Linked DNA regions of Struthio camelus. The protein of the gene in region 1 interacts with the protein of each later gene in a biochemical or structural test. Links are inferred from orthologs where the notes say so. Each region holds a gene or a part of one and is shown in the gene's direction. Other genes may lie near its edges.

Evidence for each region.
Region 2: the proteins of RARA (region 1) and TADA3 form a complex in vitro, tested with the Homo sapiens proteins (2 studies listed by BioGRID). The link is inferred for Struthio camelus from reciprocal best matches to the Homo sapiens genes RARA and TADA3.
Region 3: the proteins of RARA (region 1) and NR0B2 form a complex in vitro, tested with the Homo sapiens proteins (2 studies listed by BioGRID). The link is inferred for Struthio camelus from reciprocal best matches to the Homo sapiens genes RARA and NR0B2.
Region 4: the proteins of RARA (region 1) and SP1 form a complex in vitro, tested with the Homo sapiens proteins (2 studies listed by BioGRID). The link is inferred for Struthio camelus from reciprocal best matches to the Homo sapiens genes RARA and SP1.

Annotation. Positions count from the first base shown.
Region 1 is NC_090966.1:6,907,297-6,914,880, forward strand, and holds the start of RARA (retinoic acid receptor alpha), read left to right. Parts: upstream 1-4,573; 5' UTR 4,574-4,628; coding exon 4,629-4,806; intron 4,807-7,584. UniProt on the Homo sapiens protein: Receptor for retinoic acid. Retinoic acid receptors bind as heterodimers to their target response elements in response to their ligands, all-trans or 9-cis retinoic acid, and regulate gene expression in various biological processes.
Region 2 is NC_090955.1:9,933,964-9,941,489, reverse strand, and holds the start of TADA3 (transcriptional adapter 3), read left to right. Parts: upstream 1-4,522; 5' UTR 4,523-4,605; coding exon 4,606-4,812; intron 4,813-4,989; coding exon 4,990-5,240; intron 5,241-5,419; coding exon 5,420-5,525; intron 5,526-6,928; coding exon 6,929-7,070; intron 7,071-7,372; coding exon 7,373-7,476; intron 7,477-7,526. Other genes in the region: tubulin monoglycylase TTLL3, read right to left, coding at 1-50, 126-209; ARPC4 (actin-related protein 2/3 complex subunit 4), read right to left, coding at 1,423-1,428, 1,985-2,155, 2,299-2,394, 2,477-2,588, 3,268-3,386, 3,858-3,860. UniProt on the Homo sapiens protein: Functions as a component of the PCAF complex. The PCAF complex is capable of efficiently acetylating histones in a nucleosomal context. The PCAF complex could be considered as the human version of the yeast SAGA complex.
Region 3 is NC_090964.1:6,806,004-6,812,903, forward strand, and holds the start of NR0B2 (nuclear receptor subfamily 0 group B member 2), read left to right. Parts: upstream 1-3,895; 5' UTR 3,896-5,406; coding exon 5,407-5,950; intron 5,951-6,450; coding exon 6,451-6,731; 3' UTR 6,732-6,900. Other genes in the region: nuclear migration protein nudC, read right to left, coding at 1,942-2,019, 3,530-3,625. UniProt on the Homo sapiens protein: Transcriptional regulator that acts as a negative regulator of receptor-dependent signaling pathways. Specifically inhibits transactivation of the nuclear receptor with which it interacts.
Region 4 is NC_090969.1:3,370,646-3,377,702, reverse strand, and holds the start of SP1 (transcription factor Sp1), read left to right. Parts: upstream 1-4,046; 5' UTR 4,047-4,204; coding exon 4,205-4,211; intron 4,212-4,684; exon of another isoform or gene 4,685-4,736; intron 4,737-5,699; coding exon 5,700-5,794; intron 5,795-6,489; coding exon 6,490-7,057. UniProt on the Homo sapiens protein: Transcription factor that can activate or repress transcription in response to physiological and pathological stimuli.

The DNA of each region.
Region 1 (7,584 bases):
GTTGGATTGGGGTCAGGTGGCTGGGATGGGTGCTCCCTCCGTTGTGCTGCGGAGGCTGGGAGCCCTGTGCCCACGGTGGGGTACGGAGGTGGGGGCTCCCAGGCTTGCAGTGCAAGGGGCTGGCAGATAGGGTTGACTTCCAAGAGTTGCTGGAGCCTTTTGGGGTGCAACCCTGCTCCAGCTGCCCCCTTCCAGGGCTCCGGAGAGAGCTGGGAGCCCAGCACCCAGGCCAGAGCCGTGCCGGTCGCGCCAGGCTGGAGCGGTGCCTGTGGCGCTGGCCGGGGGCCACTGCGGCTCAGCTGGGGCCGTGCCTGTCCCGGGGGCCGCGGCGGGGGCCGGGGCACCTGTTGCCAGAGAAGAATGGCGCGTCTGGTGGCGGGTGTAGGAGGTGTAACCGGAGCGGCGCGTTCCTGGCCGTAACCGGAGCCGGGCAGGCTGAGCTGCGACAGGTGGAATTTCATTTTGCAGCTCCAGCCCCGGCAGCGGCACATGGGGGGTGCCGGGGGCCCCGTGCCGTGGGGGCCGGCGGCAGCTCCCCGGAGCGCCTGTCTGCGCCCCGGCGGGGATGGGGAAGCAGGGTGGCACGCCGCTTGGTGTGGGGTGGGCAAGGGACCGCCGTGCTCGGGGACGATGTGGAGCAGGACGTCGTCCCCATGGGGCAGCGCAGGGCTCGCAGCCAGCACCGGGGCCCTCCCCGGTCGTGTGCCGGTCCGGCCCCGGGTTTGTCTATGCAAGGGGAAGCGGAGGCTGCCCAAGCGGGTCTGGCTGGGGGGCGCTGCCGGGGATGGGGGTCCCCGCTGGCCCATGGGGTGCTGGGGCTTTGGGGTGCTGGAGACTCCTGCGTGGGCCGGAGCTGCCCCCCAGCGCGCTGGCCGGGGTGGCTTTGCGCCCTGGCGGGGCCGGGGCAGCCCTGGCTGCGGCACGCGCTGCCCGTGCTGGAGCGTGTGCAGCCGGCTCCGGCCCAGCAACATCCGCTCGGCTGGGGCATGATTCACGCCTGCCCGGGGACGTGAGAAACGTGACGCTGACTCAGAGGCCGGGATGCTCTGGGAATACAGGGAGGGGGTCTCGCCGCCGGCCCTTCCCGGGGGGCACCTCGCTGCGCCCCTCCTGGCGGAGCCGCGGCGGCCCCGGGGCTGCCCGGCTGGGGAGGCACCGGGGTGGCCGGGGCCGTCGGCCTCGCGTGTGAGGCCGCCCCGGCCGCTTTGCTGACAGCAGTGAGGAAACCGCAGGCTGTGACCGCATAGCGGATCCGCGGGCGCTTCCTGCCATGCCCGTGGGGGAGGCGGCGAGGGTGCCCAGAGCCCCCCCCCCCCCGCCCCCCTTGCTGGCGCAGCCGCCGCACCGGTGCCCCGTCCCCCAGCACCGCGGCGCGGGCCCCGGCTGCGGCTCGGGGTGCCCCCGTGACCGTCCTGGCGAGGCCGGGGGCCGCGGGGTGCCCGGCGCGGGGAGCGGGGCCGGGGCAGCCCCGGCTGGGGTCCAAGGTGGCGTGGGGCCAGAGCTGAACCGAAACCCGGCGGCCCCGGGAATCGAGAGCGGCGAGGGGAAGCTGCGGCCGGGAGCGCTGCGGTCGCAGGCATGACAGGAAGGGCTCGGTCACTGGGTTTGCCCGCTGTCCCGATAGGCACCAAGAGCGCAGCCTGGATTTGCCATTACCCTGGCCCCGGTGGCCCCCGCGGTGCTAGCCGGGCAGGGCGGTGCCCGCGGCGCCGGGTGGCACCCCGGCCCTGCTCCCTGGCGTGTCACATCCGGGGCACTGGTGCTGGCATCGCCGCGCGGCCCCGGCAGGAAGCACGCCTGGGTTGGGTGGCATGAGACGGGCGGCGCGCCTGGGGGTTTTGGGGTGCTGGCTGAGGCTGGGCCAGCTCTGCACCCTCCCTGCCAGCCCCTCCTGGCCTGGACGGTCCCCCCTGCATTTCCGTGGTCCCCATGGGGCAGGATGGGGATGCCGCGTGTCCCTTCCCAGGGCTGGCAGGTGGTGCTGGGGATGGCTGCTGGAGACGCGAATCGCGGTGCGTTGCCCCGCTGCAAGCCCTCCTGCTCGGCAGTCAGCGCTGGCCGTGCCGGGCGCGGGGGAGCTGGATGCGACCCTGCCCCGCGAGCGCGGGCAGTGGGGTGGGCTTTGTGCCCTGGTCTTGGGCCTTTTTGGCTCGAGGGGCTGGGGGACCCCAGCAATGTGTCCTGCCCCGCTGCGCGGGGGCTGCCGGCAGACCCTGGGCATGGGAATCGTCTGTCCGTGCGTCCGTCCGCTCCCTGGGGCCGCCCCCAGCCTGGTCGGGAGGTTCCTCGTGGCTGGGATTTGGCCCGAGCTCCATGGCCTTGTTTTCTGCGGGGCTGGAATGAGGCTCTGGATTCCAGGAAGTACCGATTCCCGGCCAGCTCCTGCCGGGGAACTGGAGGAAAAGGCGCCTGCCCGGCCGGGCTGGGGAGGGCGAGGGGGCTCTTCACCGCGCGGGGCTCCCCGCCGCCGGCTGTGCGGCCCCATCCCCACCTTCCCGCTGCCCCCCCAGGGCTTGCCTGGAGCGGGGTCCCTCCGGGACTGCTGCCTGGAGCCCTGAGCGTGGGGAGCGGAGCGCGGTGGTCCAGGGGGATCAGCCGGGCTCTTCCCTCGCCTCTGGTGGTGGGCAGCAGCAGCGAGCCGGAGGGCCTGTGCCCCCTCGCTGGCACGGCGTGCCGGTGAGAGGAGACGACGCAGGACCTCGTGGCCAGCCCCGTGCCGCGGCCCCGCGGCCGGCCGGGCACCGGGAGGGTCTGAGCACGCCGCAAAGGAGCTGCGGCTGCTTTTGGGGTGCAGCGTGGCCGGGCTGGGGCCGAGCTGGGGGGCCAGCCCCTGCCCGAAGCTAAGCAGGCTCTGCCTCGGCCAGCGCACGGATGGGGACCCTCTTTGGGGCCGCGGAGCAGGGCTGCGTCGGGTCTCGGGAGCCCTCCTGGCCGCCCGCGGCGGCGCGCAGAGGCCGGGACGGTCCTGCAGCCGCCTGCCCCCGTCCCCTCTGGGTGAGGGGGCTCGCGGCGGTCGGGCCGCCCCTGGCAGGCGGCGCTGGCGCTGTTCTCTCCCAGGCCCGCGGTGCGCTGGGGGGGCGTGAGCAGGGTTGAGTAATTGGGCCCCGCCGGAGCCTGGCGCCGTGCCTGGCAAGCACTTGGCACCGGCGAACATAAACAGTTCTTCCCGCGCCTCGCTCCCCTCCGCTCCCCCCGGCCGGCCCGGCTCCGGGGGGGCCCGCGGGCAGGCCCCGCGCCGGGCGCTGCCGGGGTGCAGGGTGGCGGGGGGGGGGGGTCTCGTGGCTGCTGCGCCGCCCCCGGGGAACCCACGGGTGCTGCCCAGGGGCACGGCCCCGCGCGAAGGCCGTCTCCTCCCGGCGGCGCCAGGCTGGGCTCGCCGGGGGGGGGCTGCACCCAGGGGCCGGCGCAGGCCCGGCGCGGCGGCACCCCAGGGCAGGGGGTGTCCCGTGCCCCGCGGCAGGGTGACCCACGCGGGGCTGCGGACGGGACCCCGGCATCGCCTGCCCTGGGCACCCACGCCGGCGGGCAGCCGGAGCGCGGGCGCCGGGCACCGCCGGGGCCGGGAGGAGCGCGGGGCGCCCTGCCGGCGGGTGCACCCTGCCCGGGGTGGCCGGGAGCACCCCGGCCCGGCCCCGGGGGGCAGGCGAGGAGCGGGCAGGGCCGTGCCCGTCCCGGCCCCTCCCCAGCGCCTCGCCGGGCGGCCCAGCCTTGTTCCTCTGGATCCTTTTCCGCCTCCGCGGGGCCGGGAGCCAGCGCTCTCGGCAAATAAACATCCCCCGCCGGGCCTCGCGCCAGCGCTTAAATAAACAGCCAGCCCGGGATTGTGAAAGCCCCGTGCCCCCCTTCCCACCGGCGGCCCCCCGCCCTCGCCGGCGGCCCGGCTTGGCGCGGGGTCCGTGCCCGGCGCGGGAGCCGCCGCCGGCAGCGCGGCGCGGGGCGAGCGCCGGCCCCTGCGCTGGGCCGGGTGGCTCGAGGCTGGGCAGAGCCGGCGGGGCGGTGGGGAGAGGGGCTGGGTGAGCCCCGGCCCCCGGGGCCGCGGCCAGGCACGAGGCTGAGCCCCCTCGCGCTCGGTGCACGTGTGGCCGGGCAGCGCGTGAGCCGCTGCCCCCGCGTCCTCGGGGAGCTGGGCCGGAGCGAAGCCGCTGTCCTCGGTGGACGCCGGAGCGCGGCGGCTCCCTCGCGGCGCCCCGGGGCCGGGGGCGCGCGGGGACCCTGCCCCGGGGGTGCCCCTCCGCCGCCCCGGCCCGCTAAGCCGGGCATTAGAGACCTGCCGCCCCGGCTCTCGGCGTCGTTAACCCGGCGGGCAGCGCGGGGCCGGCCCCGCACGGCTGCCTCCTCCCGGCGCCTGGGGAAACTGAGGCACGGCCGCGGCGGGCGGGAGCGGGGTCGGGGTGTGGGGGGGGGGAGCCGGGCGCCCCAGCCCCGCCGCCGCCGCTAACGCCTCTCTCTGCTCCCTCCGCAGCCGTCGCCGGAGCCGCTGCCGCCTCCTCGGCCCCCGGACGCGCCGCGGACCGCCGGCGGGCAGCGGTGAGGCCGTGGTGAGCGCGCCGGGCCGGCCGGCGGCCCCATGCCCTGCCGGGCCGCGGCGCCCCGCACGTGAGGCCGCCGCCGCGCCGGAGCCGCCCGCCATGGCCAGCAACAGCAGCTCCTGCCCCACGCCCGCAGGGGGGCACCTCAACGGCTACCCCGTGCCCCACTACGCCTTCTTCTTCCCCCACATGATCGGGGGGCTCTCGCCGCCCAGCACCCTGGCCGGCATCCCGCACCAGCTGCCCGTCAGCGGATACAGCACGCCCTCGCCCGCCAGTGAGTACCGCCGCGCTCCGGGACGCCCGCGGGGACCCGGCCGGCCACCGCTTCCCCCCCGCCCTGCCCCGCGCCGGGGGCCGCCGGGCCGGGGGGCGTCCCCCCCCCCGCCGCTTCGCCCGCCCTGAGCTTTATAAATAGCTGCAATAACAGGAAACAAAAGGGCCGAAAGGATAAGCAAACCCCTCGCGGCACGAAGGGCCCCGGGTCCGCCGCGGTCCTGCCCCGGCGCGGGGGCGAGCGCTGGGGAGCCGCCGGGACCCTTCCCCCCCCCCCCCATCCGTGGGGAAACTGAGGCACGGTGGTGGCCACCGGGGGGGTTGATCGCCGCAGCCTGGCCCCGTTCGTTAAGGGCGGTGTTTGTACCCCGGCTGCTAACGGCGCGGGAAGCGGCCCCGGCTCTTTGTTCGCCCCCCCCCCCCCGGTGCGGCGGCGGCCCCGGCCCCGGCCGCCTGCGGGGGAAGCGATAACCGCAATCATCGCGTCTGCTCCTGATTCAATTTGCCCCTGACAGGCTCGTCCATCACGGGGGCCGGGGACCGGCCGCGGCGCGGGAGCGGCTGGAGCCGGGGAGGGGGCCGCGCCTGGATCCCCCCTCGCAGCCCTCGGCCCGCCGCCTGCCTCAGTTTCCCCGGCGCTGGCTCCGGAGGGGGCGGCCGGCCGGCAGCGCCGCCGGCGGGGAGGGAAGCGGGCTTGGCGGCGGCACTGCCCCGCGCGCCTGTGCCCCCCCACCCCAGGGTGCCGTGGGGTGCCGGGGCGGGGGGCAGCCCCCTTCCCGGGCGCCCCGGGGCGCGCGCCGCCGGGGAGGCCCCCGTGGGTCGGGGTGCGGCGGGGCCCGGCCCCTGCCCGGGGGGGCCGGTGCAGGCCTGGGCAGGGCCGGCCTGGGGCGCTGTCCCCCGCCGGAGCCGCCCCGACGGCACTGGGACCTAGTGGGACCAGTTCAGCCACTGGGTGGCGGTGGGTGGGGCCCCTCCCCCGCGCTTGCTCGGGGGCCATTCCCGTTGCACGGCATTGTGGGAACGGGGGGGGTGCGCTCACCCCCCCCCCCCCGCTCCCCGGCACTGGGGACGGTGTGGGGGGCATCGCCGGGGTGTCGGGCAGGCCTGGAGGTGCCCCAGCGCCCGGACGCCTCGGCTCCCTGCTGGCACGGTGCCTCGTGCCTCAGTTTCCCTTTGGCCTTACTGCGGGCAGGGCGGGGGGTGTCACCTGTGGGGTGCAGCGGGATTTCGGGGAAGGCCGTGTCTGGGGGATGCCGCGTCTGGGGAAATGCAGAGTCCCGGGATGCCGCGTGTCCGGATGGGCCGGGGTCCCGCGGGATGCTGTTCCGGGAGTCCGCAGGGTCCCGGGGGAGCTGCAGGATCTGGGGGGCCGCGCAGAGCCCTCGCGCTCGGCCCCGGCACGCCGGGCAGGGGCCGGCGTCCCCCTCGGTGCGGCGCTGGCCCGGGAGCGACGTCCCCGCGGAAGGGAAGTGCTGCGGGGTCAGCGTCCGAGCTGGGAGGGAGCCCAGGCGTCCGGGGAAGGGCCGCCGACCCCGGGGCCGGGGCTGGGAGAGCGCGGAGGAGCCCCGCGCGGGCGGCCCCCTCCTCGCCGCGCCGCGCACCTCCCGTCCCAGCGCGGCTGCCGGCCCGCCCTCGCCAGATGTGCTGCAGCTGCGCGGCGGCGGCGCCCCGGCCGGGCCGGGCCGGGCCGGCGGCGCATCCGGAGCCGCCGGGAACGTTCCAAGGCGTTTGGGCTGCCGGCGCCGTATCCGGCCCCCTGGGAAGCCGGGGCGGCCGTCTCGCTCCCCGCGGGCCCCGCGCGCCCCCCTCCGCCTGCCCCGCGCTCCTGCTGGGGGGCACCGGGGGGCCGGAGCCCGGCCCGTCCTGGGCACCGCGGGCCGGGGAGCCCCCGCCGGCCCGAGCGCTGCGGTTCCCTGGCGCGGGGTGGGGACGGGCGCCCGGCTGCAGCCCCGCGCCGGGCACGAAGGGGCCCAGGCGTGCTGCACCGGCTGCGGCGGTGGGGGCGGGTGCCCCCTCCGGGCTGGCGGTCCCGCGTGCCTGCGGGCTGCGTTGGCGCTCGCATGCGTGGCGGGGCGCGTCGCAGCCGGTGCGGGGCGCGCGAGCCTGCCCAGCGCCGCTTGTGAGCGCGCGAACCCCGCGTTGTGTGCAGAGCTGGCTGCGCGGGTGCCCGCGTCCATGCGCGCGCAGCCGGCGCTGCCGGTGTCTCCACGCGCCTGTGCGCGTGCCCTGCCTCCGGGGCAGCGCCGGCTGTGCGTTCAGGCGTGTGCACGTGTGCGAGCGTGCTCGGCGCATTCGGTGCGGCACTGGCTGGGTGTGCATGTGTGTGCACGTGTGTGAGCGTGCTCAGTGTGTTCAGTACAGCACTGGCTGCGTGTGCGCGCGTGCACGTGCGTGTGCTCGGTGCCTCGGGTGCCGCGCCGGCTGCGTGTGCGCGCGTGCACGTGCGTGTGCTCGGTGCATTTGGTGACGCGCCGGCTGCGTGTGCGCACGTGCACGTGCGTGTGCTCGGTGCATTTGGTGCCGCGCCGGCTGCATGTGCGCACGTGCATGTGGGTGTGCTCGGTGCCTCGGGTGCAACGCCGGCTGCGTGTGCGCGCGTGCACGTGCGTGTGCTCGGTGCCTCGGGTGCAACGCCGGCTGCGTGTGCGCGCGTGCACGTGCGTGTGCTCGGTGCCTCGGGTGCCGCGCCGGCTGCGTGTGCGTGCGTGCACGTGTGTGTGCTTGGTGCCTCGGGTGCCGCGCCGGCTGCGTGTGCGCGTGTGCACGTGTGTGTGCTCGG
Region 2 (7,526 bases), on another chromosome or scaffold:
AGGCTCCGGATCACGGGGTAGGGGCCTTGCAGCATGAAGATCTTCTTTTGCTGGTGAGGGACGGCGGTGGAGCTGAGCGCGCTGCCCCGCGCCGCAGGGACCGGGGGGCCGGCGGCAGCCCTCACCTCGATGGCCCTCTCCACGCGCAGCCGGACCCGCTTGAGGCGCTCCGGGTTGAGCGAGGGGCGGCCGCCGCCGCCACCCTCCATCGCCGCGCGCCCTGGGGGAGAAGAGCCCCGGCTCGGCAGCCCCCACCTCGCCGCCGGGCCGGGCCGCCGGGGAGGGAGAGGCTCCTACCGTCCTGCCGCCGCCGCCGGGCGGCCGTGGGGGCGGGCAGCCCCTCCGGGAAGGGGGGAGGCAGAGCCCCTTTCTCCGCCGCCCGCTCCATCCGCATGGCGGCACCTCGGCCCAGCGGCGCGACCCTGGAGCTGCCCTCCTCGCCCGCCGGGACCGGGGGGCTCCGAGGGGGCCGGCGGCGTGCCCGCAGTGGGGCTGCAGCCCTGCAGGCGCAGCCCGCCGCCCCTCACCCCGAGGGCTGCTCGCCCCGCGGCCGCCGGCGGCCTGCCGGCCCCCGAGCCATGGCGCGTCCCGCGGCGGCCTGGGGGCACGGAGAAGCCGCTAGCGGCGCTGCCTCCGTCGGACGCCCCGGGGGGAGAAGACAGGGTGCTCGCTGCCGCCCCGGGGCTGGCGCAGCCGTGGCAGGACGGTGCCGGCAGCCTGGAGAGGCCCCAGGCCCAGGCGCCCGCACGGCTCCTCCGCCCCGCGCTCCGGAGCTTGCAGCGCAACGCGTGCGGCCCCTGCAGCCCCCCTCGTGCCCCCCCAGCCCCTCTCGTGCCCCCACCACCGACACCATCCTACCCCCCAGCCCTCCGCACCAACACAGCCCCCCCAGACCTCCTCATGCCCCCCCCCGACCCCCCTTCATCCCCCATCGTCCCCCACAGCCCCCCTAAATACCGCCCCCCCCGGACCCCGCTGTGCCCCGGCCCGGCCCGCACCGTCGGGGCCGCCCCCGCTGTTTGGCGTTGCCATGGCAGCGCCGCCAGGCCCCGCCCCCTGCGCCGCCAGGCCCCGCCCCCCCGCTCAAGAACCGGCGCGGGGAGGGGGGGGGAAACGGTGTCCCCCACCGCCAGGCAGGAGGGAAGCGAGCAGCCGAGTTACAGCAAACGAGGAATTGTTAAAAAAAAGAAAAACAAAGGGGGAAGGGAGGGGAGGGAAAAAACCAAAGGAGGAACGAAGAGCAGGGAGTCGGCACGGTCTGACACGAGCACGGTTCGCTTCAGGACACCCGGTCCTCTCGCCCGTCCCCGCGGACGGCTCCGTAGCATCTGGCGGCTTCTCCTCTCTTCCGCAGGCGGCGAGGCCGGGCTGCGGCCGGCCCCGCGGGGACGCCGGAGAAGCCAGGGAGCTCAGCACCACGGTTCAGAACTGCAAGGCAAGAAGGGAAGGCACAGGGCCGCTGACTGCCGGCTCCTCGCGCGCTCGCCCTCCCCTCCCGCGCCCAGCGTGCCATCCGCGCTGCGCCGAGGCGGCCTCAAGCCACGTCTGGCTGATCAGCAGGGACGGAGACGAACGATAACTGCCGTTCGGCACTGCTTGGATTGTGGAGCTCTGCGCTCACTTCCCTGCCTCCCCTCGCCCTGGGGACCGCGCAGCTCGTCTCAGCAGTCCGCGTCCCGCAGCTGCCGCTCGCGCCCTAGCAAAGCGCCAGCCCGCTGGCAGCCTTGCAAAGCTGGCGCGTCACGCTGCGCTCCTCTCTCACTGAGGAGGGAGCAAAGCGGGCAGTAGCTCTTCCAGGTACCCCCACCCGCTCCCCACGTGATTCCCCTGCCCCAAAGGGCACCTTCCCAGGGGGCTGCCGCCACCTGCGCCACAGACGGGGACAGCCCGGGGCCAGGCTTCCGCGCGCGAGGGTCACGGCAGGCCGGAGCTGCACCCTCGTCCAGAGACACGGGAACCATCGCCTCCCGCTTTAGAGCCTCACGTTCTTGAGGAACTCCTCTGCCACGATGCGAGCCCTGGCGTTGACAGACAGCTTCATCTCACTGATCTCCTTGTCGATCTCCTCCATGAAATGGATCACAAAGTCCACGAGCTTGTGCTTGTACATCTGCTCTGTGTGGAAGTTTGTGATCAAAAAGCTGATGTCGTAGCCCTGGAGAAGAGAGAAGTGGCAGAAACAGTTAGCGCACCAACCCCGTGAGCACACGTCCTCTTTCGGCTCCGGAGACCCCCCTCTCCCCAGCAGTGCCAAAAGCACAGCAGGATGCTGCTCTGCAGCTCCACGGGTCACCTCACCTCCACAGGCTTCCTGCGCAGGATGAAGAAGTTCTCAGCCCTCATCATCATAAAACGCATGAATTTATGGCACAAGATCTTCTCGATCTCATCAGCCTGCAGAGAGAAAGCAGAAGTGAGGCTTCCTCCAAGCAACACACAAGCCACCAGCCTGTTCCCTCCCCTCCCACCAGCTCACCTGTTTCACTGCAATGCTGACTCGCACAGAGTTAATGGATCCCTCTATAAGGACCTTTTCCTTCTCGTTCCTGCTGATGATCACTGGCTGCAACAGCAGCTCTTTGCTGCTTCTGTGGATGCAAGAGAAGCTCAGCACTGATTAACGAGCACTTGCTGGCCACACAGGGCATGCAAGCAGGGAGCTGCAGGGATCACAGCCAATACGGACACTTGGGAGTTTGTTTTGTGCTCCAACACGATGCTTTCCACCTCCCAGGCACACGCATCATGAAGGCAGATCCTCCCTCCTCTTTGCAGTTTCTCAGCTCCCGGGCTGACCAGCCCCATCGCTGCCTGGTGGCAGCTGCTGAGTGCAGAGGCCTCTCCAGCCTGCACAGTCCCCTCGCGTCAGGCCCAGACATGCTAAGCAAAGGCAGCAGTGACTAGATGGGATTGTTTTTTGGTGTAAAAACCCCAACAAGAATTAACCCATCCCAGTGTCCAAAACCAGGACTCAGTTCCCAGTGTCCAAAACCAGGACTCAGTTCCCAGTGTCCAAAACCAGGACTCAGCTAGGCTCAGGAACAGTGCTGGACTCAGTGCACTAAAACCAGAGCAGAGACCGTTTTCCCCGTGCTGCTAAAGCTGAGCTGGCAGCGTCGCAGCACAACAGCTCCACAGGGACACGCTGGCCCCGGAAACCAGCCAGAGGCAGAGCAGCAGCCCGGGGGCAGCTGCCTCCAACGAAAGGATGGCGGAGGGCCCGAGCGGAGCGGGGGCCCCGCAGGCACAGCCGCCCCCTGGCCGTACCTGACTTCCACCTCGGGCTTGTTGTGGCGCTCCACGACCTGCGAGGAGAAGTTCTCCAGGCACAGGGCGGCCTGCAGCGTGGCGCGCACCGCGTTCAGGTACGGGCGCAGCGTGGCGGTCTGCGGGGACACGGCGTCAGAGCTGGCAAACGGTGCGGCCCACTGCCCCCCACCCCGGCTCGGGCCCCCCCACCCCCAGCTCGGGACTGCCGCCCCCCCAAACCCCCAGTCATCCTTCTCAGGCCCCCCCCACCCGCCTAAAACCCCAGCCCGCCCCAGCTGCCCTCCTCAGCCCCCCCACCCCACCCCAGGCTGGGGCCTTCCGCCCCCCCCCCAAACCCCCAGCTCGCCCCAGCCGCCCCCCTCAGGACCCCCCCACCCCCGACTCGGGCCTGCCGCCCCCCTAAACCCCCAGCTCGCCCCAGCCGCCCCCCTCAGGACCCCTCACCCCCGGCCCCCCCGCCCGCCCCCAGTCCACCCCCATCAACGCCCCCCGGTCCGCTGCCGGCCTAGGCCCCGCCAACCCCCCCGCCAGGTCCCTCCATCCGCCCCCGGGCCCAGCCACACAGCCCCCGCCACCCCCCCCCCTACCATGGTGGCGGCTCCGGTCCGGTCCCGGCAGGCGGAAGTAGCTGTCCCCGGCGGCTCCTCTCTTCCGGGATGGCCGGGAGCTCCCACTGCAGCGGGAGGGGGGGTCGGGGGAGGCTCCCGCCGCGCGCCGAAGGGCGCGGGCCGCACCGAGCTGGCCTCGCCTCACCGCGCAGAGGAAAGTGACGGCGGCGGGCACGGCGGCTCGCGATGGCGGTGCGCGATGGCGGCGGCCCGCTCATCCCCCCCCGCCCGCCCGCCGCGTTGGTATAGTCCCGTCACTGCATCCATATTAGGGAAGGCAAAAAGAGCGTGGGCCGGGCCAATAGGCGACGGGTGCTGGGCGCGGCTCAGCCAATGGGAAGTGTGGGGCGGGGCAAGGCGGGCGCGGCGTTGGCCTACGGAGGCCGGAAGGGACGAGCGGCCTAGGCCCGGCCCCCCGCGGCCCTCCCGGCCGCCCCCGCCCCGCGGCGCCGCCGCCCCCCCGCCCGGCCGCGGCACGCGCTGCCCCGCCGGCGCCTTCCGGGCGGCCCCGGCGCCCCCGGGACCTCCCCGACCCCCCCCCCGGGGCTTCCCTGCGTCCCGGCCCCGCCCCCTCAGCGCCCCGGTCCCAACCCCCCCCCTCCGCCGGTTCCCCTCAGCACCCCGGTTCTCTCCACCCCCCCCCCGCTTCCCCTCAGTGCCCCGATCCTTCTGCCCCCCGCCCCGTTCCCCCGAACACACCCGTGTGCTCCCCCCGGTGCCCGCCGCCATGAGCGAGCTGAAGGACTGCCCGCTGCAGTTCCACGACTTCAAGTCGGTGGACCACGTGAAGGTGTGCCCGCGCTACACGGCCGTGCTGGCCCGCTCCGAGGACGACGGCATCGGCATCGAGGAGCTGGACACGCTGCAGCTGGAGCTGGAGACGCTGCTCTCCTCTGCCAGCCGCCGCCTCCGCGTCCTGGAGGCCGAGACGCAGGTGCGGGCGCCGCCGCCTGCCCCGCGCGGCGAGGGCCGCTGGGGCCCGCCGCCCGCTCCCTCGCCTGTTCGTTCACGCCGAGGGGCTGCGGCGGCCTGTTGGGCTGCCGTTGGTGTGGGCAGCGGGCCCGTCCCCAGGCTGCGCTGTGTGGCATGACATGGTGTTGCTCTCTTCCAGATCCTGACAGACTGGCAAGACAAGAAGGGTGACCGGCGGTTCCTGAAGCTGAGCAAGGAGCATGATGTGGGCACTTCTGTCAAACATGGGAAGCCCAAGAAGCAGAAGCTGGAGGGCAAAGGGGGTCACGGGACAGGGCCTGGCCCTGGTCGGCCCAAATCCAAGAACCTGCAGCCCAAGATCCAGGAATACGAGTTCCCAGATGATCCCATTGATGTTCCCCGGATTCCCAAAAATGATGCTCCAAACAGGTGCATGGGGAACATTTGGATCATCCGTTTCCTTCCTTGCAGCTCCTGGCGAGAGGGCTGGCTTGGACCCGAGGGAAGAGGTGCCCTGGAGGGAAGGGGGGGTGTGAGTCGGCCTTTGCCGCGGCCCACGCTGTGCCTCTGCAGCCCCCCCTTACTGTCCGTTTGCTCCGTCCTCGCAGGTTCTGGGCCTCGGTGGAGCCGTACTGCGCCGACCTCACCAACGAGGAAGTCAGAGTCCTGGAAGAGCTGCTCAAGCCGCCTGAGGACGAGGCTGAGCATTACAAGGTGAAAGATCTAAAGCCCACCCAGTCTTGTAGCCTCTCTTCCTGTCTGTTTTCTAATCCTGGGCCAGTCTCCTGTCAATGCAGTCTTGTGCCTTACAGTGAACGCTCGCCCTGTGGGGATGATACTAGTTTTTTCCTGCAAAAGCAGGAATTTATCTGCACACTTTTCTCTTCTGGCTCCCGTGAGAGAGTGTCTTGGCTGCGGCCACGAGGTAGCAACTTGCTGCCCCCGTTCTGGGGCAGTGCTGAGGTTGTTGCTGTGCGCTTTCCTGTCCTTGGGAGGCAGTGCCCAGCTGTAGTCTGTCTGTTCCTGCTGCAGCGTGGTCCCGGCCTGTGAGACTCGTGGTGTTCTTACATGCAGAGTTCCTGTTGTTACATCCAACTTTGAGCACAAGGGACCTCTCTGGACCCTTGTCTGAGAGACCCCAAGCCCCCTTTCCCTTGTGCCAGCTGCAGGGCTCTGTTTGTTCTAGGGAGCCGAGCAGAAGGATTTTACACGCTCTAGGGAAGAGGACCGGCAGCAGACGGTTGTTTTTGTTGTCACCCGCTTGTAAGCGGGTGAAGAACTGGGGAACGGGGGCAGTTGTGGAGATGAGAAGTAGCAGCCAGGATGGGGTGAGAGACTTGGCTGCTCTCACCTCTGCTGCGTTACACGTGTGGTGCTGTTGGATAGCCACAGTTTCCACACGTGGAGATGACATCTCTGGTCTCGGCTACAGAAGAGCCCTGGGTGAGGGCTCCCTGCCTGATCAAAGACGCTGTGACCAGGGCTGGTGCTCGCGGTACCAGCTCCCTGATCTGGTCGTGTCCTGCCAGCGCTGCGTGTGTGACGGGCCCGTGCCTCTTGTACAGTGGGGATGGCTGAGTCACGATCAGGAAAACGCTCTTCCCGTAGCACGGTTTTAGATTTCACTCATAACGTTGTGGTTGCTCTTCCTGTGAGAGTGCAGCTTGTGGTTGCCGCTTTGTGTAGCTTAAAGACTCGCTGGGGTCTGCGCCGGCCGGTGGCACCGCCAAGCCGAACGGCGCCGGGCCAGCCAAAGGGGCAGGGCGGCTGCCGAGGAGCTCGGCCCTGGAGCTCACGGGCAGCTGCGCCGCCTCCAGGGCCGCGTCTGGAGGTGCCGAATTCTGCCATCTGCTCTGCGCAGGAGCTGTGGGAGAGGAGGGGAGGGCCCAGGCCTTGGGAAAGCGGGAGAGCAGCCCTGGGGATAGGGTTGTAGAGCCCCAGGGCAGCCGGGTACTGGCCTGGCTGCGAGCCAGGTGAAGTGTGCGGGGCTGGGTCCTTGGATGTAGGGCCTGCTCCGTGGCACGGCAGGGCCCGTCTCCTCGTGCCTGAGCTCTGGCGCGGACGAGGGCCCTGGGACGCTGTGCTGACCGCTGCTCTCGCTTGTCCTGTGGTTGCAGATCCCGCCTCTGGGGAAGCATTACTCCCAGCGCTGGGCCCAGGAGGACCTGCTGGAGGAGCAGAAGGACGGAGCCCGGGCAGCAGCTGCTGCTGACAAGAAGAAAGGCATCCTGGGACCGCTGACTGAGCTGGACACTAAAGGTGCCTCCATCCCTGCCTGCGTCTGCCCTCTGTGAACGGCCTGGAGGGGGCTGCAAGGCACCTACACGGAGCACAGCCAAGCCCCTGGGACGCTGGCCCTGCTGCCCTGGGGGTTCCTCCCTTTCCGGTGGCTGCCCTGGGGAGGGCACAACTCGAGCGCAGCTGCAGGGAGGCTCAGGTGGCAGAGACAGAATGGAGTAAAGCTGTCCCTGCAGAGGAGAGAACAGTTCACCTTGCACCGGAGTCCCGCTGAGGCGTTGGCCTCTCCCCTGCTGCTCACTGTTTTCCCTGCTTCCTCCCAGATGTTGATGCCCTGCTGAAGAAGTCGGAGGCCCAGCACGAGCAGCCTGAGGACGGGTGCCCCTTCGGGCCCTTGACGCAGCGTCTCCTGCAGGCCCTTGTGGAGGTGAGAGGGCTCGGGATTGCGTTGTGGCTCTGTCGGGCAGTGTCACTGCA
Region 3 (6,900 bases), on another chromosome or scaffold:
GTACTCGGGCACGAAGCCAGAGCAATTACCCCGTGGTCAATAATGCCACCAGAACTGTGCAAAGCCGCACGTATGAGATCTAAGTTCTGCTCCACGAGACAATATAGATAAAATCTGAGAACAGAAATTAAAGCGGAGCAAACTTTCAGATAGAGGTTTCAGGCACTGGCTTACGTATATCCCAGGAACTTCAGTGAGGAATTAGCACTTCTCCAAAGTAGCTCAGAACAGCCAGGCCTCATGTAGTTTTGGAACCAACCACCAATCATTTACGGCTTTGCTTTTAAAAAGGAAAGCAGGATTTATTTACACAACTTGAGTCCAGCGTCTCCTAGGATACAGAAATCAAGACATGCATCTCCCAGCCTCTGTTCCCAACTGCAGGACAATCCACAGTGAGCAAAGCTATTCAAATCGCCCAAGTGTAACAGTGTGCGCGCACTGCATTTCCCTCAACATGTTACATCACTCCCTCATTCTACACCAGGAAGGCTTCTGAAATGGCACCACATAAAACATACTGCCTTTCCCACCACCCTCTCCTCTTTTCACATCTTTGATATCAAAGGATGAGCAGGATGGGGGAGAATAAATTCTTCAATTTTTGTTGCGGTTATTACGGTGTCAGAGGCAAGTTAAGAGACTCTTTTGTATTCATCACCTTTTCAGAGGACCACAGAGCATTTTAACAGACACCAGCCAAGGACGCTAACACTTTTCTTCTACAGATAGCACAATAAGACACGGATTTGCAAGAACAGTAGCCTGGACCTCCAACAGCATCTGTCAGTGCTAATCTCCGAAATTCTACTAAAACATAATGCTGCTTAGGTTTTCATTCCCTAGGAGTACAGAGTCCCCAGGAAATCTGGAAGATTTGCTCACTAGTCCAAGGAAAACAGCAGTAGGCGTCATCCTATTCTTACTTTGAAACCATCCACCTTCCCATCCCTTCGCTGCTTTAGTTCTTCCATTTTACAGACTAGACAGAGTATCTTATACGCAGCACTGGCAATCATCTTTGCTAACATTCAACATGGCAGCAGTTCCTGCTTTGCTGTCTGGAGAGTTCCAGTAATCCAGAAAGTTCTTTCAGAAGGCATGTATTCCAGCATTTTTCCTCAATCCTACACCACGATCCAAACTGACTATATGAGCTACAAGTATCTGACCCCCCAGTTAATATCAGCTTCCTTGTAAGACCTGATGTTATCACCTACAGTTTTAAAGCCAGGAGGGCAGGTGAGGGGCATATAGTAAACACACAGCCTCTAGACAACAGAGTCACAAAGTAGTCAGCATTCTGAAAGAAAAGGTAACTGTTGATATACTGGTAAGCACAAGCAAGAAACCTTCAGAAAGTCTCGCTAACTGATGTTTCAATGCTCTGGTCCTTATTTCACTACAAAGAAACTAGTTAGTTTTACAATTCTTGTGCTGGGTCAGGAATACCTGCTGGATATCAAAGACATTCAGTTCTCTCAGGCCAACAAGGTAGCCTCGATCCTCGGGCTTGCTCTCTGGCGTGTTCAGTCCGTACAAATACTGCAGCACAGAGACAAAGGGGCAGCAGCATGTGCAGGGATGTGGACTTTGTAATTTTTCTGAGATGAACAAACAAGGTAACCTGGGGTTATCAACACTGCAGTGTCTGTCACCGTTAAGTCAGAGCGTCTGGCAGATTTGCTTTTCAAACAGGCCTTTGGCCAGAGCGTGGCAAAAACTTGCACCATTGGTATCATTTGAACAAGCCATCATGCCTCACCTCAGATAGGGGTAGCTTATTATTACCTTGTTTCAGAGGTGTATTTCACCAACATCACAGACTGCTGGTTCCCAGGTGTATTGGGAGGAATGCTTTGAGTTATTCAGGAAGGGAAGTCTTAGCATGGCACAGAGAGTATGTAAGTTAGAATGACTTTTTTTTTTTTTTTTAAATACCTTTTCTGCTACTCCATCTTCGCCACCAGTGAAGAAATCAGTTTTCCGCCTCAGGAAACTAAAGAATGTGTTCACAAGCTGTTTGAGGAAACAGAGGGTAGGGGTTGGGGTAAAGAGGAAAAAAAAAAGAGCAATGAGACCAGATCACTCCCAGTCATCCCCTGTCTCCTCAGTAGTCTTTGTTCTTCTTTTTACTTCCTGCCTATGTCTGTGTTAGGATCATATTAGAGTCAAACCCATTACCGTTTCCCAGCAAAAAAACTGAGGACTTTTGTGGAGATCCAGCTTACGGATTCCCAATTTTCAGAAGATGCATTTTTGTGTTTTACATGAAGAAAGGGGAAGCAGTTCATTCTCAGGCCATCTTCCCTTGGAGATGCATCAACTTTGAAATCCCAAGCTGTTACTTAGACCCATCTGACGCTGGAACTTCTTTTTTAATTAAATATACACATACATGTATATAGATACACGTGTATACTATAAATTCACTTCTTTGGTTGTCTAAGCCCTCAGAGCTTGCAAACCCACCTTCCCCAGCTCTGTGACTTGTTTACTTTTACAAAAGACTAACACGTTTGCTACCCACTAACAGCCTAGAAGCAACGGATGGTGGTCTGCGCCCTGCAAGACATGCGACAAGACAGAACTGCCTGTCAGGTGTCCCTGATGAAGTAGAAGTTGTGAACTGACATACTAGAATACACCTGCAAGAAATAATCTCAATGAGTATGGTTTCTCTTTCTTCTTTTCCAGGAATAATGTCTTTGTCAGTATTTCAATCAGAAGCTTCAGTCCAGTAGGAAGAGCTGTTATTAACATCATTTCCCCAGACCACCTGTGGGTGGGGGATGTTCCCCAGAACTGTAGTAATCTAGCTGCATGTCATCACCTAGACCCTCTGAGCAGCCTCCAGCAAGAGTCACATCAGAAAATGTGAGTGCAAAGAGTATCAGTAATGCAGCTACAGTGAGGGAAGGGAAACTGTATTCATGCTTAGGCATACTTCTGCCTATTTTATGACTGCAGCCAACACATCAGGTCTCACAAGGCAGCTCTCAGACGGTCATGCTGAGAGTGTGACAGCTCGACTTGATCCTCCCCATGCAGTGTCTAGTTTCGCTGCAATACGGAGAGGGATCTGCCTTTCCACACGCCTCTAACGCCTCTAGCAAGCCAACGGTGTTAACTTGAACGAGTGCGAACGACCCACCCATAAAACGCCCCAGCTGCTCAGGGGCGACGAGACGGCCGCGGGAGGCGGCAGGAAGCCGAGGGGCATGGCCGGGGCCCCCCAGGCCCTCATCAGCACGGCGCTAATTAGCCCTTCCTCCGCGCCTCCTGGGCTCCAGGTCCCCCCGGGGGCGCCGAGAGCAGGAACCCCCAACGACGGGGCGCTGGGACACACGTGCCCACCGGGGAGGGCCCGGGGCTCCCGGAGACCCTCGTCCCAGGGAGGCCGGGCCGCGGCTGCCTCCGCCCCCTGCCTCGGGGCCCGCCCCTCCCCCACTCACTCCGCCCCCCGCCCCGGGAACACGTAAAAGCTCCCGCCACGGCCCGGGCTCGGGTCCAGGCCCGGCGGTGCTACCTCGCGCACGCCGCCCTGGTGCTGCTGGGCCATGGCCAGGAGCATGCCGTCGAAGCGGTCCTCCTGCTCCGCCGCCTCCTCCGCGCTCAGCCCCATGGTGATGGTGGTGGTAGGGCCCGCCGCCGCCAACGGCCCCCTCAGCCCCTCACGCCGGCGACCGGAAGCGGAAGCGACGCGAGCGGAAGGCGGTGCGCGAGGGCCCGCGCCGCCCGCCAATCCTGAGCGCCCGGCCGCCCCGCTCTCTTCGCGGATTGGCCTTTGCGGCGTCCAATGTGCCGCGGGGAGGCGGGACCGGCGGGGCGCGGGGTTTGGTTGCTATAGCGACGGCCGGTCTGGGCCTTTCCAGAAAGCTCGGCGAGGCCGCGTGTCCCCGGGGGGGGGGTAGGGGTCAAAGGGCAGAGGGCACGTCACGGGAGGGGGGGCTACCTCCCCGAGGTCAAAGGGCAGAGGTCACGGCCGGGGGGGGGGCCAGCTGCTGGGATCCACCCCCCCCCCCGCGGCCTCGCCCTGAGGGGGCTCCAGCCTTGGGTCTGAACCCGCCTGGTTTTGGCGTGACTGCTGCGGGCAGGCAGCCGCGCTGCCGCTCGGCTCTGTCCCGGCGCTGGTTCCGCCAGGGCTGCGAGGAAACGTCCCAGCGCTTTCTTGACCGGGGCGCGGAGGCTTAAAATTCAGCCGGTGTGAAGGGAGGTGACGGAAAGCAGCCTTGTGGAGCGCTGCCGTTGAGCTGCAAAGAAGCCGGCCCGGTCGCCCTCGGGGATCTGCTTATCTGCAGGGACCGAAGGATCCACCTTCTCTTGTGTTCGCTGCTCTCTTCCGTGCACGGCCCCTGCCTGCCTCTTGGCTCTTTTAGGTCTTCCTGCAACTCTTCCCACGCCCCCCTACGTAGGATTTCCCTTCCATTTACAGCACCGGTCTTGTAGCCAGCCTTTCTTCGGGATGAGGTGCCTTAACCCTAAGGAGGGTGAGGTCTTCTGACTCACTGGCTCCTTCCTGCTATAGAAATTCCTCACTTTGTTGCTGGACCCCTTGAAATAAGTAACCAGGTGCGGCCAGACTTTTCTAGACCAACTTCTGTTCATCAAGTGATAAAACCATCTGGCAATTCAAGGCAAAAATGTAAGAACCTGACCCTGCCCTGCCTCGTATTTCCTTTGTGACACAAGATCCTTTGGGCCCTGCCTCAGATTGAATACTATAATCTTTTTAGTTCACTGGGTTTCTCGTCCTTAACTGTGACAACATGAGTCCCTTGTCAACAAGGTTGGGCAAACATCTGCTGATAAAACGACTTCCAGGTTGCTCTTCCCAAGGCCGGAGCATGCAGGCCGTTTGCACCAGGGTCCTCGCTCCAGACGAGTGCCGTGTGTGTGTGTGTGTGTGTGAACTTCTTGGCAGTGACACCTGCCGTATAGTGCTGCCTGATTACACGGCGGGGCCTTGGTGCCATGGTACAGGCTGGGTTAATGACTTTGTTTAAACTGTTTGGGTAATCGTGATAAGGCCGCCCAACCTGCTGTCCTGTCCCCGCGCTGCTGGCCCCGCTGGCACTTCATTGAGAAAACGGCCATTGACGCCATGTGGAGAACTCGTTTGTTCCAGCCAATCAGTCCAGGGATGGCTGTTTTTTTTTTTTTTAATGAGGACCGCTTAATCACAGAGCGGTCAAGGCTATGAAGGGGTGTTTCACTTGTGACTGAGCCTTATAAGAAGAGCTGGTTAAAACAGCTATGGGCTGGCAGAGCTGGGAGGAGAGACTGTGCCCGGGGAGCTTTGATTGCCGCAGGGGGTTGTGACAGTGCCCTTCTGCTTTACGGATCTCCCTCCTCTGCTGCAGCAGGAGCTGAATTTTGCTGAGGATCCAGGCACCCAGCTCGGCTATGACAACCAGCAGCATGGACGTGGACTGCAAGAGGTGCCAGTGCCACAGCGAGGACAACCGCACCGCCATCCTCTACACCCTCCTCAGCCAGAACTTGAACCACAGCCGGGTCAGCTGCAGTCCAGCCCACCAGCGCTGCCTGTGCCACCAGCGCCGGACCGTCTGCCTCCGCACGCCCCACGTCACCTGCCAGGCGGCCTCCAATGTGCTGGTGAAAACCGTCAGCTTCATGAAAAACCTGCCTTCCTTCCAACTGCTGCCCCGAGAGGACCAGCTCTTGCTGCTGGACAGCTGCTGGGTCCCCCTCTTCCTCCTGGGGCTGGTCCAGGAGATGGTGACATTTGAGGTGATGGAGACCCCAGCCCCCAGCATGCTCAAGAAGATCCTTCTCGATGGCCAAAGCAAACAGCAGGAGCCCGAGCGGATGCAACCCACGCTGGCCGCGGTGCAGCGGCTGCAGTGCTGCCTGAACACCTTTTGGAGACTGGATCTGAGCCCAAAGGAGTATGCCTACCTGAAGGGCGCCATTCTCTTTAATCCTGGTGAGTGTCGAAGCCTCACAGCCCTATCTGCTGGTGGGGAGAGAAGGCCCCGCAAGCATGAGCATCTAGAAACACATTTCGTGGCTTGGACTGATTCAGAGCACGGGCAGGAGGAGCTGTGCACGGGAGAGGAGAAGAGGGCTGGTTATCTTATCATGGATACCTAGTATTACATAATGCCGTTTACTGTTGGGAAGTGGGGAGGACAGATGTTGAATGTAGTGCTAAAATCCAGGGACCTTGCCTAGCCTGCAGACAGTAAGGACCCCAGGACTTATTTTGCCAAGCATGGGTTTACCCTGTTAACTATTTTTGCTCCCTCAAAGCAAAGCTGCTACTCAGCAGCCCCAAAGTGGCTACGTCTTAGTAGTGCTGCGTCCATTTAATTAATGTGGCACTCGGAGTCCCTTCAGAGGTAGTTGAAGGGATGGGAATAGTAGAAACTGGAGCTGCTGTGCAGCCTCCTTCTTCACTGGCTTTTTCCTCCTTTCTCTCCATAGATGTCCCGGGGCTGAGGGCCTCCCTGTACATTGAGAGCCTCCAGCGGGAAGCCCAGAGAGCGCTGCAAGAAGTCCTGCGGCCCCTGCACCCCGAGGACCAGGGTCGCTTTGCCCGCATCTTGCTGATTGCCTCCACCTTGAAATCTATCCCTCCTGCACTCATCACAGACCTCTTCTTCAGGCCAGTCATCGGCAATGCAGATATTGTCGAGCTCATCACAGAAATGCTGTATGAAATAACCAGCAGGCAGCTGGCTCCTTCGTCGCGCATGGCGCTCTGAGGGACTGCGCTCGGCTGTCAACCCCACAGACGTCGCCTGCTCCCCGAGTCAAGTGTCAGAGGGCGGCAAAGTGAATCTGGGAGCAAGGTTTAGTGAGGCAGGTGCTCTGTACTTTGCAGGGAACTGGCTTTGTGTGTGTTTCGTTAAGCCTGGGGAACAGCTCCAGAGG
Region 4 (7,057 bases), on another chromosome or scaffold:
GGGAATGGGGAACAACGGGGGAACAGGGGAATGGGGAACACTAGGGGGAAATGGGGGAACACTGGGGGAACAGGGAACACTGGGAGAACACTGGGGGGAATGTGGGAACACTGGGGGGAATGGGGAACACTGGGGGGAAAAGGGGAAACACTGGGGGAACACTGGGGGGAAATGGGGGAACACTGGGGGGAATGGGGAACACTGGGAGAACACTGGGGGAATGGGGAACAGTAGGGGTAATGAGAGTAATGGGGAATACTAGGAAGAATGGGGTAATGGGGAACAATGGAGGAACAGGAAGCAATGGGGGAACGGGGAACAGTGGGGCCAATGGGGAACAATGAAGGGAATGTTGGGAATGGGGGACAATGGGGGAATGGGGAACACTGGGGGGAATGGGGAACAATGGGGGGAATGGGGAGCAAAGGGGGAATGGAGGTAATAGGGAACACTAGGGATAATGGGGGGAATGGGGAAGAATAGGGGATTGGGGAACACGGGGGGAATGGGTGGAATGGGGAACAGTGGGGCTGGTGGGGAACAATGGGGGAATGGGGAACAATGGGGGAATGGGGAACAGTGAGGGCAAGAGGGGGAGCGCAAGGGAATGGGGGTCCTGGGCTGCTAATGGGGAAGGGGTTCCTAACGAGGCGTGATGGGGGGGGCTTAATGGGCAGCAAAGGGGTGCTAAGGGGGAGGGCCTTCGCCCCGACGTCCAGCACAAAGAGCGGCGCGTGCCGAGCTGGCCAGGACTCAGCTCCGGGGGCCGGCGGCCCCCAGCCGGGCCGCGCGGGGAGGAGATAAAGCCCCAAAGCTCTGTCGGCCGCGGGGCCGGGCCCTCTCCCGGCCCACCCGGGGGGAGCAAGCGACGGGAGCAAGCAGGGATTTGGAACCTGATTTTGGAGGGGGGGGGCTGAGAAACGAGGATGGATGGCGATTCCAGCCGGGGGGGGGTGGTATTCTGCTCCGGAAAGGCTGGGGAAAAAGGAGCCATGTCACCTCCCCGGTACCCACCAGCCAGTGCCGTGCCGATGGGGAAACTGAGGCACAGGGCCGGGCCCCGCTAAGCTCTCCGGCGTCCGCCGCTCAGCGTCCCCACGTGTCTCCCCCCCCCCCAACCAAGCAGCTCGGCGCAGCCCCCAACCCGGCCTGTCCCGGTGCCACCGCTGCAGGGGCTGGGGGGGGACGGGGGGGCGGCCGCGGGCCCCCGCCGGTCCCAGCTGCTGGCCCACGAGCTGCTGACGCCGCAGTCCGCGGGACGCGGGCCCGGATGAAAGGAAAAGCCGTGTTTGCTCGGCGCTGGCGGGGGGGGGGGGGAGTTGAGGGGGGGGGCGGCCCGGCCTCCTCCCCGGCCCCGCGGCAGCTGCGGCGGCGACTTCCAAGGCCGCAGCGGGATTTGCGGTGAAACTCCGGCCTCTTCCCTGCCGGCAAGGGATTGGGGGGGGGGGGACGACGACACCAAAGCGACCGCCCGGCTCCGGAGGTGCGCACCGCAGGGACAGCCCCCCCGAGCAGGGGGGGGGGGAAAGGGGGGCAGGTCCCACGCTGGGGGCTTTGCGGCCGAATCGGCCCGAGGCGAGGGGGACAAAAAGGGCTGACGGGGTTTGAAAGACCCTTGGCCAGCGTAGGGAGCCACGGCTTCGCCCGGCTCGCGGGGGGAAACCGAGGCACGGGCGAGCTGGGCCATCCCGGCCGCTCTGCTCCGACCACATCCTCCCTTTCCGCGGAGATGTGGAGTTAACGGGCTCACGGCGGCAGCCCGGCTCCCGGGAATCAGACGCCCCCCGGGACGCGCTAGCACCCCTCCGAAAACCTCTCCGAAACGTCCCGGCGTCTCCCGAGCTGGCCGGGCGAGGGCTGGGGTCGGTCGGCAGCCATGCGGGCCGGCGCGCCGGCTGGGAGGCAAAGGGAGGGGAAGCGGGTTGGAAAAAGCAGGCTGCCAACGCTCCCGCGATTTCGGCTGCTCTTTCGCTTTCAGCTGGGGCTTTTTTACAGGGAAGACGAAGCCGTTTAGCGTTTCCAACCCTGCTCGGCCTTCCCAAAGCAACCGAACGCCGCCACAGCCGGGCCAATGCTCCTGTCCTCGGCTGCCCGCGGGTCCGACTTCCGCCCAGCTCCGTATTGCTCTCCGCTGCCAGGGTTTTGGGGGAAAAGGCCGGCGGATTTGTTACATGAGAGATGCCGGAGCCGGGATTAGGGCCGGAAGATGTTCCACCGACGCCGAGCCCAGGGAGGGCATGGGTTTGTTTTGTTTCGCTGCGCTCCGTCCGTTTCTTCTCGAAAAAAACAAAAAAAACCCCTCGGTGTTATTTTAATTACTCAGGGGCTTGCAATCTGCTGGCGGGGGGGGCAGGCTGCCGCGGGCCGAGTGCCGGGAGGGGGAAAGCAAAAATAAAACAGTTCCGCTGGAAGCGGGGTGAGGTCATGGTTAGCGACGGCAGAATTTTCCAGCTGCTGAAAGAGGGGAACGATGCAAAAAAAACCAAAACAAAACAAAACCAAAAAAAAAAACCAGGTCACTTAACACAGCATTTGGAAGGACAGCAGGGGCACCGCGCAAAGGATTTGCCCGAAACTGCGACCTCTGACTCCTCGATCGGAGCGGAGCCTCCAAAACCAACACGGGCAGCGCGCGGGGAGCGGGGAAGCGGCGCTCCGTCCCGCCGGGATGGCGGCAGGACGCCCCGCTCACGCCGCCGCCAGCCCCGGCGTCCCGCCTCGCCGGCGGGGCGCATCAAAGGGAAGCGGGGGGCCGAGCCAGGCGGGATGCGAGGGGCCGGGCGGCGGGAGGCGGAGGCCGGACGGCGACTCCGCGCGCCGCTTCCCCGCGGCCTCTGCGCGAGGGCCAGGAACGTCCCGGCCCTTCGAGGACCCGGCCGGGAGGAAAACCGCCTCGTTTCGGGGCAGTTACTCCTTGCGGGACCCCGAGCTGGGCCCTGTCACCGCTCGCCCCGTGGCTCTCTCTCCCTTTTTATAAACCTGGCACAATCTGGGGGCTTTTGTGGAAAAAATGACACCCCCCCACCACCACCCCTCAAAGCACCTTTTGGCCCCCTAACACGGTGCTGCCACAGGGCAGCTGGCACCCGTGGAAGGGAGAGGATGAGGCACCGCGACAGTGACGGCCTGTCACAACGGGGCTGTGGGGACGGCACCCGGCTGAGGCGCTGCCGTGACAGGCCACGTCGCAACAGGGAGTCGAGGGCCTGCCGCCATGACAGCCCCCCCCTCCCCCGACACGCTGCGAGGAGGGTTCGCGTGCGGCGTTGTGACGGGAGGAGGATGGGACTAGAGGGAACGGTGGCACTGTCGCGACACGGCCCCGGCCAGCCTGGCCGCCCCGGAGGCGGCAGCTCGGGCCCCTGCGCTCCCCGCTCGGGACAAGGCGGCGGCTGGGGTCGGGGCGGAGCCAGAGCCAAAATGGCGCCTTTTCCGCCACATTCCCAGCGCCGCCAAGCCGTCCCTCCAAGGGCGCAGCCCGGCCGTTCGCCCCGCCCCCACCCGGCGCCCATTGGTCAGTTTGAGACGGATCGCCGTTCTCATTGGCGAGCAGCCCCGTTCCTGCCGACCCATCCGGCCTCGGATTGGACAGTCAGCCGTCAATTTCCGAGCCCGCCTTCTCCAGCCGCGCGGGCAGCGCGGCTGCCCGGAGGCCAGTTGGCGGGTCCTCACGCCAGTCATGCCTCCGCCCCGCCTCCCGCGCGGGACCGCCGCCCATTGGCCGTGGCACGCGCCCATCCCGCCGCGGTTCACGCCGCCTTGGCCGCTCCCATACGGGGTCTCCCTGGGAGCCCGCGCCGGCGCTGATTGGCCGGCCCTCACGCCAGCCCCCCCCTTCCCCTCCCCCGGCCGCCAGCGCCCTCCCGCGCCCCCATTGGCCGCCGCCCGCGGCGCCCCCCTTCCCCCACGGGGCGGGGTCGCGGGGGCGGTGCGGCGCGGCCCCCCCTCCCCCCGCCGCCGGCCCGCCCTCGCGCCCCATTGGCCGAGCCGCCCGCCACTCGCCCGCCCGCGGCGGCGCCCCATTGGCGGGCCCCGCGGCGGGGGGCGGGCCGCGGGGCCGGGGCCGCGGCGCGCGGCTCCCTCCCTCGGCAGCCCCTTGGCGGTCACCGGCGGGGTTAGGCCGCCTCGTCAGCGAGCCGGGCGCGCCCGCCCCTCCTCCCCCCCGCCCCGCCGCCGCTTGGGCTCGCCCCCCCCCCCGGCCACCATGAGCGGTAAGGACGGGCCCACCGCGCCGGCGGGGGGGGGGGGGCGAGGGGCGCGCGGACACACCACACACACACACACGCCCGCCCGCTCGGAGGGGCCAGCGGCGGCCCCGCCCCGCGCCGGGCCGGGCCGCGCCGGGCCGGGCCCCGCCGCGCCGCGCCGGGGGGACCTGCCGGGGGAGGGACCCGGGGGAGGGGGGAAGGCCTCGGGGGAGGGACCCGCGGCGAGGGAGGCCGGGCGGGGGCCGGCGGCCGTTCAGCCGTGCCCTCCCTCCGCCCCGCCGCCGCGGGAGGGGGGGGCCGCCGCCGCCGCGGCCGGCGCGGTGGGGGGGGGGGGGGAAGGCGCGGGGAGGGCCCGGTGTGAGGAGAGGGTCACGGGGTGGGGGGGAGCCGGGCCTGGGCGCGCCCCGGTTGGAGGCGTGGGCCCGGGCGGGGGGGGGGGGGGAAGCACCGGGGAGGGGGTGTTTATGCGGGGAGATGCCGGGGGTGGAGCAGGGAGAGGGGAACACACCGATGAAGGGGTATCCCCGGGTGAGGGGGGAGCCTTAGGCAGGCGGATGCATGTGGGGTGGGGGGAAGGAGCCCGCCGAGGGGTGAGGGAGAGCTGTGGGGAGGGGACCGTGGGCTAGGGGGGGATCCATGGGGTGGGGGAGAGCCGTGGGGAGAAGGCCCACGGGGCGAGGGGAGAAGCCGAATTAGAGCGTTTTGGGGGAAGGAGCTGTCGGAGAGGGGAGGAAGGCCCTACGAATGACCTGGGGGGACCTGGAGGGAGGTCTGCAGGGGGCCTGGCAAGGGGTGCTCGAGGGGCAGGAGTAGGGGGCACAGGCCCCAGTTCTTTGGGGGTCAGGGGTTTTGCCAGGGAAGGAAGGTTTCGTGGAGGATTGTGAGGGGCTGGGGGGGGATCCAGGAGGATACGGATTTGAGGGGGAACAGAGACACCGGGCAGTGGGATCACGGGGAGCGCAGATGGGGAATCCTAGCCTGGATGGGGCCTCTCCAGACGGGGATCCCTGGGGAAGCCAGTGGGCTGGATCTGCCAGGGGAAACCCCTGGGCAGGGCAAGGAGAAAGCCTCAGGGGGTGGATCCGCGGGGTGCCGGGGCCAGCCAAGGAGGGCCTGAGCGGGAGGTGTGCTCCCAGGCTAGCGGAGAAAGGGAAAGGGGAGGCCCGAGGAGAACCGAGGGGCCAGGGAGTGTCCCGAGCAGGCAGGGAGGAGCTGAGGCCTGGAGCGCGGCCTGTCCCTCCTCCGCCTGTCTCCGTGCCAACTCCCCTTTGGCAGCTCCCTCTGCTTCCCAGCCCCTTCTCGCTGGTGCCGGAGCAGCACTCGGTCCTCCCAAAAGTGCCTACCAGAGTGCCTTCACCTCTCCCTGCCCCAATCCCCTGCTTTTCCAGCCCCATAACTCCTCTCAAGTCCTTGTGTTCCTCTTCCCCCCCCCCCCAATCCCTCTGCCCAGAAATGTATTTTAACTCCGACTGTTGTTTCCGGCCCACACAGACCAAGAGAGTCCCGAGGAAATGGCTGCAGTGAAGCCCGAGAAGGGCGAAGGAGATGCCAGCAGTAATAGCAGCGGAGGTGGTGGGGAGGGCCAGGTGAGTGCAGGGAAAGAGGCGGTGCAAGGAACAGCCCGAACCTGGCAGCTTCCTGGCTCCGCTCACCCTGGGGACTTGCCGACCTCGTAGCAAAGTCCAGGGCCGGGGCGGGGAGCTGCGCTGAGGTGTTTGTTTGGCCCAGCCAAGCGCTGCACAGGCTCCTCTTCCCAGGGAAAGGAAGAGAGGGCGAGTGAGTGACGGGGGAGCGTCGCGCTGCCAAACACCCTGTTGGAACGTGTTCAGCAGGGAGTGCCAGCCCAGAGCATGTTTCCCCTCCTCCCCGAGTTGTGCATGGTGCTCTTGAAAATAGGCTGTACACCCTGGTTCCAAGTAGCTGCCACGGCCCTGACCAGCCCTTTCCCTGATCTGGGTGCCCAGAAACAGCTGTAGGAGTTGTTCTCCTGTAGTGCTACAAGGAGATTCACTCGCTTTGGAGTGGAAGAAATGTGTCTCTTTGGGTTTTACATGCAAACTCCCTCCCCTTTCCTCCCCACCGGAGGGTTTTTCACTGTGGGTTCAGTTTGTCCCGGCCTGACAGCCCTGTGTCTGGCAGTTGTATTTTTCCGGCTGTGGGTGGGTTTTCTCAGGAAGGAGTGTTTATCTTTTCCAAGTACGCTCCTCCCTGGCTTCTCTTTTTTTTTCGGCCTGCCCACTGGGCCGCCTCCTGTGTCCTTAACTCCTCCTCTCCTTCCCAGGAGTCCCAGCCTTCCCCGCTGGCTCTGCTGGCAGCCACCTGCAGCAGGATCGAGTCTCCCAACGAGAACTCCAACAGTTCCCAGGGCCAGCAAGGCGGGAGCGGCGAGCTGGACCTCACGGCCGCTGCTGCTCAGATTGCCCAATCCGCCAACGGTTGGCAGATCATATCCACTGGCTCCAGCACACCGACTCCTTCCAAGGAGCAGGGCGCCAACGGCAGCAATGGCAGCGACTCATCAAAAAGCCGGCCCGTGAGCGCGGGGCAATACGTGGTCACGGCCGCCTCCAATCTGCAGAACCAGCAGGTGCTGACGGGCCTGCCAGGTGTTATCCCAAATATCCAGTACCAGGTCATTCCCCAGTTCCAGACCATTGATGGGCAGCAGCTCCAGTTTGCCACCACCCCTGCCCAAGTCAATGTGCAGCAGGATGCCTCTGGCCAGCTGCAGATCATCCCCGGCACGAACCAGCAGATCATTACTAGCCGAGCCGGGACGGGTAACCTCATCGCCATGCCAAACCTGCTGCAGCAGGCTGTCCCCATCCAGGGTGTGGGCTTAGCCAACA